3 linked regions of the Tribolium castaneum genome follow. The protein of the gene in region 2 interacts with the protein of the main gene of each other region in a pairwise test. Links are inferred from orthologs where the notes say so. Each region holds a gene or a part of one and is shown on either strand. Other genes may lie near its edges.

The links.
Region 1: the proteins of small glutamine-rich tetratricopeptide repeat-containing protein alpha (region 2) and soluble calcium-activated nucleotidase 1 interact in a two-hybrid assay, tested with the Caenorhabditis elegans proteins (2 studies listed by BioGRID). The link is inferred for Tribolium castaneum from reciprocal best matches to the Caenorhabditis elegans genes sgt-1 and apy-1.
Region 3: the proteins of small glutamine-rich tetratricopeptide repeat-containing protein alpha (region 2) and metaxin-1 interact in a two-hybrid assay, tested with the Caenorhabditis elegans proteins (2 studies listed by BioGRID). The link is inferred for Tribolium castaneum from reciprocal best matches to the Caenorhabditis elegans genes sgt-1 and mtx-1.

What each region holds. Positions count from the first base shown.
Region 1 is NC_087399.1:566,647-570,219, reverse strand, and holds soluble calcium-activated nucleotidase 1, read right to left. Parts: upstream 2,091-3,573; 5' UTR 1,955-2,090; coding exon 1,359-1,954; intron 1,278-1,358; coding exon 1,130-1,277; intron 1,063-1,129; coding exon 829-1,062; intron 780-828; coding exon 576-779; 3' UTR 513-575; downstream 1-512. Other genes in the region: luc7-like protein 3, read left to right, coding at 2,333-2,437, 2,489-2,928, 2,977-3,267, 3,317-3,456, 3,506-3,537. UniProt on the Caenorhabditis elegans protein: Hydrolyzes UDP and to a lesser extent GDP. By preventing the accumulation of NDP, may promote the reglucosylation of incompletely folded glycoproteins in the endoplasmic reticulum following the unfolded protein response.
Region 2 is NC_087403.1:5,039,070-5,043,351, forward strand, and holds the start of small glutamine-rich tetratricopeptide repeat-containing protein alpha, read right to left. Parts: upstream 2,913-4,282; 5' UTR 2,705-2,912; intron 2,656-2,704; 5' UTR 2,598-2,655; coding exon 2,385-2,597; intron 2,338-2,384; coding exon 2,234-2,337; intron 2,190-2,233; coding exon 1,906-2,189; intron 1,867-1,905; coding exon 1,749-1,866; intron 1,701-1,748; coding exon 1,638-1,700; intron 1-1,637.
Region 3 is NC_087397.1:2,268,566-2,271,784, forward strand, and holds metaxin-1, read right to left. Parts: upstream 1,658-3,219; 5' UTR 1,539-1,657; coding exon 654-1,538; 3' UTR 570-653; downstream 1-569.

The sequences.
Region 1 (3,573 bases), on a different chromosome or scaffold from region 2:
TGATTTCAATTTTTATTTCGAATTCATTTCCTTTTGTAGGGTCATCGGTCGACTAATTCTAACATTTCAACAAAAGTTGAAATGTACTGGAGAAAAAATATAAAAGTTATTTGATAGTGCTAACTGTGTATTTTTTCCACACTTCAATCAGCTTTTGACAACTTTTTTTAGCACCTCCCAGCTGTTTGAAAACTATAAAAACGCCAACGTCGCCGAATTATTTCTTTAAATAAGATTGATTAATTAACTAAATTACCCTGGTTTTTAGTGTAATTATTATAGAAGTTTGTTGGATATTACGATACGCAAATAGCGTATTATTGCGAGAGTAATAAGAAAAACTAAAATTTCAAAATTATGTTGTGCTTCATAAAATCGATATAGATATTAAGATATTTATAGATATTTAAGAAAAAAACGCAGAATTCACTGGAACAAACCGTTTTGCTCTTCGATTGGAAGTCTCTAAGTTATATTTTTTAGCCTTTGTAAACGAAATCAAAGTCAAGTCGTATTTACAATTTTTTATTTAAATTAATACACAATGTACAATATTTTACAAAATTGCGGGAATGCTAAATAAACTCCAATCCCTCGTATTTTAAATCAGCTATGTGGAGATCGTCAAGGAGGACTTCCCCTCGAATCGTAAAGCTGGTAATGTAGGTCGCTGTTTTACCATCAACTTCCTCGCTTCGTAACGCCACAATGACTTGATCTTCGGACGATGGCAGGAACTTGAAACTCGAAAAACCTCTCGTTGGTTTCGAATTCAAAATCTAGACACACAATTAAATAAAAAAAAATTACGAAAGCACTGAACATTACTTGTGTTTTTTTAACATCGTAGAGATCCTCATCGGCACTTATCAACACCGAACAACCTCTATGTTCGTCCAATGATTCGTTGTATTGCTCTTTGCTGCACCTTCGAGGCAAAAAGAACCAACGTCTGTGGACGTCAGACCAAACCCCGCTCTCATGGATCATATAACCGGGCCAATAAATGCCCAGAACTTCCCGAATTCGCTTATATTCGTTCACCCAGCTTAGGTGGCTGACCTAAAAACTATCAACATTAAAAAAGAATAAATTCGCAACATCACGTTGAGCAAAAAAAGGGACTTACTTGGCCTTTGGGTGTTATGGCCTTCACATACATGGGATTGTTTGTTTCAAAGGCCCCGCTAGGGGTCGTCCATTCCTTCCCCATGGACCCTACGTATAAAATTTCGTCTTTTACGGTCGCCCATTCCGACTTAAAGCCCTTTGTGGTTCTGCAAAAAAATAATTAATTAATACAGGGTGGTTATAATTTTGATACAGCGACCGCTACAGGGTGATTTTTTTTATCTCACCTCCCGTCCCCGTCCATAAGAAGCAGCCACGGAACTGCTTTATCATTAATAATTTCGTACACAAGTCCAGTTCTGTCTTCAAAAGTGAGCAATCTGCCGTCAAAAACCACCAACTCGGACAACTCCATCCCTCTCCCTTTCAACGAATAACTCGTAGTTAACTTGACCGGACTTGTGCGGTCCCACGTAACCACAACCGTCCGTCTCGTAGGACTATAGCTCAGATAGCCCTTCATAAAATACGAAAACCACACATTCTTCTCCGTTTCACTCTTCGAATTCGTGTCCAGATCGGCAATAACACCTATCCGGAACGTATGCATTGAACTGGTTTTAATTGGACTAGTTAGAGGGTACGTGTAGTTGTAAGTACTACTCCTGAGAACGCTACCAGATGTGGCCCCCTTACGGGGAAACATGTACAGGAGGATTAACACAAAAAGGCCGATAAAGGCCACGATTGAAATGAACTGGGTTTGGCCACGTATGGTCCGATTGACTATGCGGTAAGCGGGCTGCGACCTTAAGGCCTTTCTCCAGTCCTTGGAACTGGCCATTTCGTCCTCGGATAACAGGTGCAAGCGGTTTGGTTCCATCAATTAACTATCACGTTGGACTGGGCCAGCTTACACGTATCATTATCACAAAAAATAATCCTAAATTTCAAACTCTACTTAACCTAAGTTTTGACTGTCAACATGACAGCTGAGTTCGAAATTTGGGGAATTTTGTTCCAGAGGCTGGCACCAAAAGTCGAAAATTACATATTCCAGGCTGATTTTTCTAAATTTGTGGCTGAAATGTGGACGAAATGATTGAAATTTGTTACTTGGACAACTTTATTATAGTTTTAATCCGTGGTTTTGCGTTAAAATTACAATAAAAATGTTTTCCGTTGGTGAGATGACGCCACAGTCGCCACGCCACGACCAACCTGACAAAAACAAAATTATTTCAAGGCCATCAAACAAAAAATGGCTGTGTTAGCGGCAGCTCAGCTCTTGGACGAGTTAATGGGGCGCAACCGCAACGTCGCCCCCAATGAAAAAGTCAAAGAATTGAACTGGGAGGACCCTGAAGTGAGTGTCACAAATTTGACCATTTTCCGTCAAACTAACTTTTGCCCCCAGTATTGCAAGTATTTCATGGTTAAATTCTGCCCCCACGACTTATTCGTGAACACGCGAGCTGATTTGGGCGCGTGTTCGAAAGTCCACGATGAAGAAATCCGAAAAATGTTCCAACAAGCGAAACCCCACCGAAAAATCCACTACCAGGAGGAGTTTATCCGTTTTTGCTCCTCCATGATCAATGAAGTCGAACGTAAAATACAAAAAGGCAAAATGAGACTAGCCCTGAGCGGGAAAACCGAACTCCCGTCCATATCACCCGCACAATCGCAAAAAAACCAAGAACAAATTAAAATCCTAAACGAGCGAATCAACGGTCTTGAGGCTGAAGCAGAGCAGGCTGGAACCGACGGTAACGTGGAGCAAGCCCAAGGTTTGATGAAACTTTGCGACCAGTTGAAGGAAGAACGCGACTCATTACGCAAACAAATCGAAAATGGGTAATTCCCCTAATTTTTGCAAAATTCGCGCGTTATTTCGTTGTTTAGGCATTGGAACGCCACGGCTGAGTTGGCCGCGGCCCAGGAAAAACAAATGGAAGTGTGTCAAGTCTGTGGGGCTTTTCTCATAGTCGGCGACGCCCAGCAAAGGATAGACGACCACTTGATGGGCAAACAACACGTGGGTTTTGCACGTTTAAAATCCGCCTTGGAGGAAATCACAGCTGTGGTTCAAACCGCCAAGGAGGAGAGACGCTCCGGTCGTAGTCTAGCAGGCCGTGAAAGTGAGAGAGAGCGCGAGCGTGACAGAGAGAAACGACGGGAACGATCGGAACATAGGTTCGGAACCCGAAGCGAAGCTGAGGCCTTTAATTCTGATTTCCCACAGGTCGGAAAAAGACAAGGAAAAGGATAGGAGAGACAAGGATAAGGAGCGGAAGGAGAGGAGGGAGAGAGAGGCACATAGGACGAAAGAACGGGAGAAGGAGAGGGAACGAGACCGGAAACATCGCTCCGATCGTGATTCCGGTGCGATGTTTAAATGCTGTTTTTTGGAGGTGTTGTGTTTTGTTTTTAGGGAGGAGGAGTCATCACCAGTACCGCCGCTGATTGGTTTTCTCTTAGACCAGTAAGATCAAGCAATCC
Region 2 (4,282 bases):
TCCGTATTTAAGCATGTTATTTATAAAAAACGACACTGATTTTCTGTAACGGGGCATATTTTATTTGCACCAAACACAAATCTCCCCAATCTCCCAACTTACAAAATTACAAAACGGGAAAGAATTTCCCGCTTTCCAACGCTCAAGGCACAATTGTGTGAATTTGTATTCAAAATGATTTGATTATTTTTATAAGTTTTAAGCAATACGTTTCAACGATTAAATACCCTGTATATTTTTCATTTAGGTATATGAAAAAAACGTTAACGAAGTCGTAACAATCAATTCACCTTACAAGAATTAGTAGTTATCTCAGATTACATTTTTTCTTGGTGACGTTTTATCCATATTCTTACACAATTATGTGCAGTTTGTTACTCGTTGTCGTCGCGATCGGACGCTTCATAAATAAAATCGAAAAATTTGCAGTTTAAAAATTTCAAATTCGTTGATCGCGGTTAGTGGTGTTAGTGTTAGTGTTGATAGAATGGATTCCCAGGGAGAAAAGGAGGAAACAATCCGGATTAAAGGGTTAGTCTGCAATATTTCCTTTTTCGAAAAATTAAAATTGTAGTATTTGTAATATTTTCAACTAAGTTAAGGCATATTGTTCTAATTTTATTGTTTTTCATTCCAGTAAGTCCGCTTAAGAAGATGATGCGGTGGGACTTCTACAACTTGTAGCCGAAGATGCCATAAAGGTCAGTGAATTATTTTTTTTAATTATTATTATACGGGGTTTAGGGAATGGCTTAGCAATATTTTGTATGTGAATTTTTTTTTATTAATCCATATATTAATTTAAAAAAAATTATTAATCCATATATTAAGCCATTGTGTGGTTTATGCTAGTTTATTAACAATTAATTTTTTCCTTAAGCAAACATTTTTGTATTTTATAACAAAACACAAATTGAAATAAAAGAATTATGAAGTGGACCAAGAAATTAATTTACCTCTGCCGTTTTGTCAATAATTTTAAAGTACACGCTAATTTTTACCATTCTAGTTCAGCGGTTTTTGGGACCTTTGGGAAGTTCAAGTCAAAGTTTTTTAAAACGATTTTTTGAGAGTACTATGCATTTTCGATATTCAAAAAATTTACTTAGTCGATTCGTTTTGCCATTCTCTGTCTACCTTCAAATTTTTGCTAAACCATTCCTTAACAGGAGAGCAGTGCACATGATAGCGGCTTTAAATTACAAAGCTGATTGTAGAGCAGTCTTTATTTTGCCATCTTTATATGTTTTAAACTCTCTTCTCTATACTAAGAAAAATATTAATAAATATATCAGGCACAAAGAATTTCAAGACCATGATACAAGGAGGAACAAAAATATTATACCTTTGCATAACAGGATCTTTAGAGTAAAGAGTTGTACCCGGTACGATGCAATAAATTTTTTCAATGTTTTCCCGGTCGATTTTAGGGAAAAATTAAAAATTTGTTTAAAAGCTAATTGTTTGTAGAACTGAGATGAGTTTTTTAAATGTAGTTTTAATATCTTATGAGTATGTATTTATGTATTTTTTGTGACTTGCGTAAAACATATACCACCAATAAAGAATTATTATTATTATTATTTCTAGTAATTTATTATTGCTTATTGCCAATAAGTGAAAAAAACAATACTTACGCTTGAAAAAGAGCCTCAAAGTTGGTATCCCCCGATTGGCTCATTGCCATAATGCCAGACATTCTGCGAATGAATAATTATTTCAAAGTTTTTCGTATTTGGGGCACTTACATATTTTGGAAGTCGGGATTGGCCATCATTTCCCGCGCCATGGTCAAAAATTGCTCGTTGTTAATGAACTGCGTGATGTCAAGTGGGCGGTGTTGTGGAGGTGCTGCATTTTCTGGAACTTAGATTTCAATTTTATATCGTAATTTTTAACTCTTACCCATCGACTCGAACAGGCGTTCGCGGGCTAGAGTAAGGTTGGTTTGGTAACTGGCGTTGTGGGGGTCATATTTGAGGGAGGACTCGTAAGCACGCACAGCATCGGCCCATTGGTTTAAGTTCGAATAGGCAATGCCCAGTCTACCGTAGGCTTTGCCGTAAGTCGGGTCGAGAACCAGGGCCTGTTTGCAGTCTTTGATAGCCTCTTCATTGTTCTCTAAGCGGCTGTAGGCCGCGGCCCTGTTGCAAAAGTACACCGGGTTGGTGGGGTTTGCCTCGATAGCCCTGCAAACAACTTCAGAAATTTGCCAAAATTTGCCGTAACTCACATTGAGTAGTAACGCACAGCCTCCTCATATTCGCCGTTTTTCATCGCTGTGTTGCCCAAATTTTTCTGGCGCTCCGCCTCGAGGGCCTGCTCTTGTTGGACCCCCTAAGCAAACATGTAAACAACAAGCCGGAATATTTTAATGGTCTCACCGCATCGTTCAGTCGGATTTGAGCGAGGAGATCAACTTTTTTTAAATTTTGGCGATCGTCGCTTGAAATTTCGTAAGCGGTTTCTAGACACTGAATTGCCACCTCAATTGATTCCTTTCGTTCCTCGGAGAGGTCGGAAGCGCCGACCTCACCTGATAAGAAGTCCAGGACGTTGAAGATTAGAGTCTTTTTGCGTAGATTTGAATTTTCCATTTTGGAAAAGGAATGGAGTGAAAATGGTTATAGGCGACGTGTTGCAAAATAGGGAGCACTGCGAAGCCACTTTTATGAGATTTTCTGGTTATGCGGAAGGTACTTACAAAAAGGCAAGGAAATACGAAAAGCAGGTTTTCAACGGAACGCTGCAAAAATAAAGAGAAATTCAAGGCAAAGGCAGGCGCCGATTTCTACATTAAATTGGGGGAAATTGTTGGAATTAATTTTTAGAAATTTTGTTGAGGTTAAGAACTTCTCGTCTTGTAATTGACGGCAAGATGGGACTCTGATATACCGACCAAAGACACGTAGAAAACTTGAAATCAGAAAAAAATATTTTCGAAAAAACAAATATTTAGCAACAAATGACAATTTTCGAAATTAATTTTCTCTTGGAATTGGCTCAAAATTTGTGGTTGGGATTCAGTTTAACACAAAATTATTTTCTTATACAGAAACTCTCAATTTGTGCACCATTTCACTCCAAAAAAGCATTGCCGTTATTGCCAAATTGAAATGGGGATAATGGGATATATGGGCGACGAATTTTTGTTTTTAATTTTTTATCCACCGCGCCCAGCCTAAGCAACCAACTATACGTTGTTAAAATTTTGAATTTGTTTTACCATTTAGCTATTGTGAACCAATTAAGCTAAATAAAGTGGTTTAAATGCATCTTCTTAGTTTTAGTAAATATTTTGACTTACTTTTCCAATGCATGCGTTAGTATAACTTGCTCAACTTTATGCCCTTTTTTGTTGACCATTATCTCTAGTGTTTTCTTTCCCAGTTTATTTTCACAACGTCTTGAGTTTAACTAAACAAATGTTGAAAATGTTGCCCGAACAGGAAAACTTCATTTATCAACATTTTGTTGAATTAGTGAGGGACCACGATTTAGTAAATGTAATGAAAAGTCTCTCCACAAAAGACCCATTAGTCAACAATTTAATTGCCAGTATAAACACTGTAGGTTCGTATTAATTTAGTAACTAGTTGATTTCTAGAAACATTGTAGGATGATGATTACCGACATAATAACAGAATGATTTTATTCGGTTTATTGAAGTCGGAATCTGAGACAATTTTTTATGACTTTGTTGAATCCCTGAAACAATGTGGGTATTCAGAGTTTGAAAACAAAATTGATAAGCCGATAAAGGAAACAATACAAGACGGCAGGTTCCTTTAGAAATTTGGAGCTAGTGCCATTATGACTATAATTTTAGGCTCAGACCAAAAATCAACAGTAAGGATTATTTTGAATCTTCTGATGGTATTGTTGATGAAAATTTTTCCAACAATGTTCTAAAATGTTATTTTACGGCAAGTCTTTTTGACAAAACTTAACCAGTGTGTCTTTTAATTTCTAACAAGGCTTGGGGTATTTTTTTCATGTTGAGAAGCAATTAACATACTAATAACTACATGTTTTATTAATCTTTTTCAACTATTTTTTTTGCCTTGTTTTAATTACGAAATTTGGGAATAATAAACGGCTTATGATTAATTTGTTTTTTATATTTCTGAACGTACAGGTCTAGTTTTAAAACCACATATTTTGTCAAGTGATTTCAGTTGTTTCTAAGTGTTTTTTTAACTTTGATCATATTAACTGACTTAAAAAACAATAATCTCATGTATGATTCGGAACTAAACACAATTTTGCATTTATTTATTCG
Region 3 (3,219 bases), on a different chromosome or scaffold from region 2:
ATCTCAAAAACTATAACCAAATCGACCATTTTATTCGCACATAAGGCTAGATCCCATTCTGTGAGAAAGACCGGCCCTACACCGGTTCTCATTTGCCCCAGGCATGAGCAATTGACCAATAAAAATATAAAAATCACCTCCTACTTGTTTATCTGGTGCACAAAAAATTGCAAGACGATTGAAGCGTTTGTCATTGGATATCGGGGAGGGGATTGCACTCCCAACTGTAAAACCGACCAATCTCATAAGGCGATTAAAACTGAGCAAAAAACTTGTTTGTTTCTTTTCTTGTCCTTTTAATGTCTGCGACTTTTGTGAAATTACGATTGTTCCCAATTGTTGATTTAACTTTGTTATTTGTCAAAAAAAACTACTGGTTTTGATAAAAGGTCAGTTTGTATTTTAGACCGTAATTGGTAAAAAAATGGCAATTTCGAATTATAAAAGTAATTTCGAAAAAAATGTTATACAAAAATTATTAGACCCGATAATGTACTACTTAATTATTTTTTTCGCAAACTAAAAAGTTTATTGGGCTGATTTTTGTTTGAGGTAAAATAAAACACACCTTTCTTCTAATCACTTTATTACAAAACATTTACAAAAACAATAATTACTAACAGTACTGGCAGCCAGTTCAGTCTTAAGAACAACTAAAAAAAATTTGACAATTTGATGAACCCCTTTTTCACCGCAAACCCCACGACAAGCGACGTCGCACTCACAACTAGGATAAAAACGGAAAGATAGGAAACATCATCATCACTTTGCCGATTATTGCTCTCAGTTTGCAAATATTTGACTTCCCTTTTAACATCGGGAAAATATTTCGCGTCTATTCTTTTAACAAACTCGGTCAGATTCGGCCACATGGACAGCAAGGCTGGAATATCATTGGTAGGGAAGGGCAATTTGACAAGGGGGGCTAAATGTGCGTACACCACAACGTCCACCGTCATGGGACAATCCCCGTAGAAAAACTTGGCTTTGCCCAACCGCGTGGACAGGGTTGACAAACACGTGGTGGCCGTTTTGGTGACGAACTCCTTGACCACCTCCATGTCGCTGTCCAGGGGGTACAAGGTCTCGATCAGCTGCAAGGCCTCGCTTTTTTTGCGCTTGGTGTACGAGTAATTGAAGGGGAAAGGAAGCGCGCTCATGAACCACCGACTGATGAACTCCTCGTTATTTCTCTGGTCCACCCAGTAGAGGAATTCCAGAACCGGGTTTAGTTTCATCGTGACTAGATTTATTAGCGCGAGCGTTTCGCTGGAATCTTTGGCAGAGAGGCTGTGGTCCAGGTCGCCGTGGAGGCTCTTCCAGTGCTGGTGGATTTTCGGGAACTGGGTCACCGTGACGTTGCCGCACCGCAGACTGGGCGCACTGTACAAAGCACATGATTTTACGCCGTTTTGCAGCTTTATTTCAACGGGGAGTTTCTTGAGCCGGGCGTAGAAAATCGACTCGATGCAACCGACGTCGAGCGAAACCAGGCCATAATCGCCCTCGATTACGTAAAGACTCGCCGGTTTATCCATTTAATCACGATTTTGAAGCCAAGGCAGGAAACATTACGAAAATTTCTAGTTTTTTAGGTTAGAACGAGAACTGTCAGCGCAGAACTGGCATTGATTTTCGCGACAGTGCGCGACTTTACCGACACAGGCGCGCTAAATTTAATTACTTAAAAAACGTTCTTTCCCCTTTTTCAAGTGTTTGCGCCATAACCGTTAATGCCAAAGCGAAGGGACGTAAACTCCCCGTTTCGAATATGCAATTTAAAAGTCGACCACAAAAACGGTTTATGGACAATAAAGACGTACATGAATGTCGAAATTTCTTCCAAATTGACCTTCATCTAAGAGAAAAATGGGGACAATAAACTTTATTGTAGTGTAAATAATAAAAAAGCGAGTGTTTTCATTTGAAACTTTATTAAGCCTGGCCGAAAGGCCCCATTTAGATAACACAACGCTTTGTCAATTAAAAATTAATTTTCGTATTTTTCCGGAGTAAAAGCTTTGCACTGCGACGTGTGACAGTAAAGCCCCAGAGAAATAATCCATCACCCATTAACTAATGCACAATATCGCGGCACTATCACGCTTAAAAGTTATATTTTCCGGTTGTAATATTCAATTATGTCAGTTTGAAACTTGTGTAATTGCAAGCTGCTTGTTCTATTTGCTGTCACTTTAAAGCTGGTATTAAGCACGTTAAAAATTCATTAATTGTGCTTTGAGTTTGTCGCCGAGTCACCGACCTGTTTGTCCTTTTTCTATTTTTTCATTTACTGCAATTTATCATTCTATTAAGAAAGGGGTGATTAAAATTTTATTATCTGTTAAAAGTTGGAAAAGTTCATGAGTTTCGCTATACTCATAAATCTCAGACTGTGGTGTGTCATGGACTAAGCACCTTTCTGGAACTTGTGTTTTTGCATCAATTAAGCTTAATTTTCTGTTTTAGTGCGTTGGCGAGCTTTTAAACACTGGAAAAAGTTTCACTGTGAAATTGCAATATTGGTAATGCTTTTTTGTAACCAAGAACGATGACGTAAAGTTACATGCTACATGTAGTTTTACAGTATAAAGTAAATAAACACATAGAAAATTTACAATGGCTTTATTAAATTAATATTACATTTTTGAGGCTCACCACTACTTGTGGAGCAGCCTGTATAGTTTATAATGTTGATTTATTTAAAAAGTTTGTGTTAAAATATCTGCAAAAGTCGGTCAGTACCTGGGGCCCTCGGTGGCCCAGTGGTATAAGCGCCACTTACGGCGGGGGAGGTCGGGTGTTCGAACCCGGATCACGGCAACAAATTTTTCTGAGAAAAAAAGTGTAGAAAAGGTAAGTGAAACAACATGAGAACAAAAATAAGAGATTGAGAGAACATAGAGACGTTAAACGTAAAGCGAAGCATAAAACTTACAAAATTAAGAAAATAATGCAGCAAAAGATAAAAGTACGTAAAGGCGCCAAATTGTAAATGTAAGAGCACTTCCTAATAAAGGAAAAATACCTTTTGTTTTGAGAGTAAAAGAAATGAACAAAGGTGGAACATAACTTCAAACTTTAGTTGAATCTACTTCCTAAATTATAAAAAATTAAACGAACATATTAATTTATCTCTAAAAATTTTTAGTCTACTGAGTTTGTTTAGTACAGTCCCGAAAAACATTGTTAATAAAAATCATGGTCACTGCGAATGCA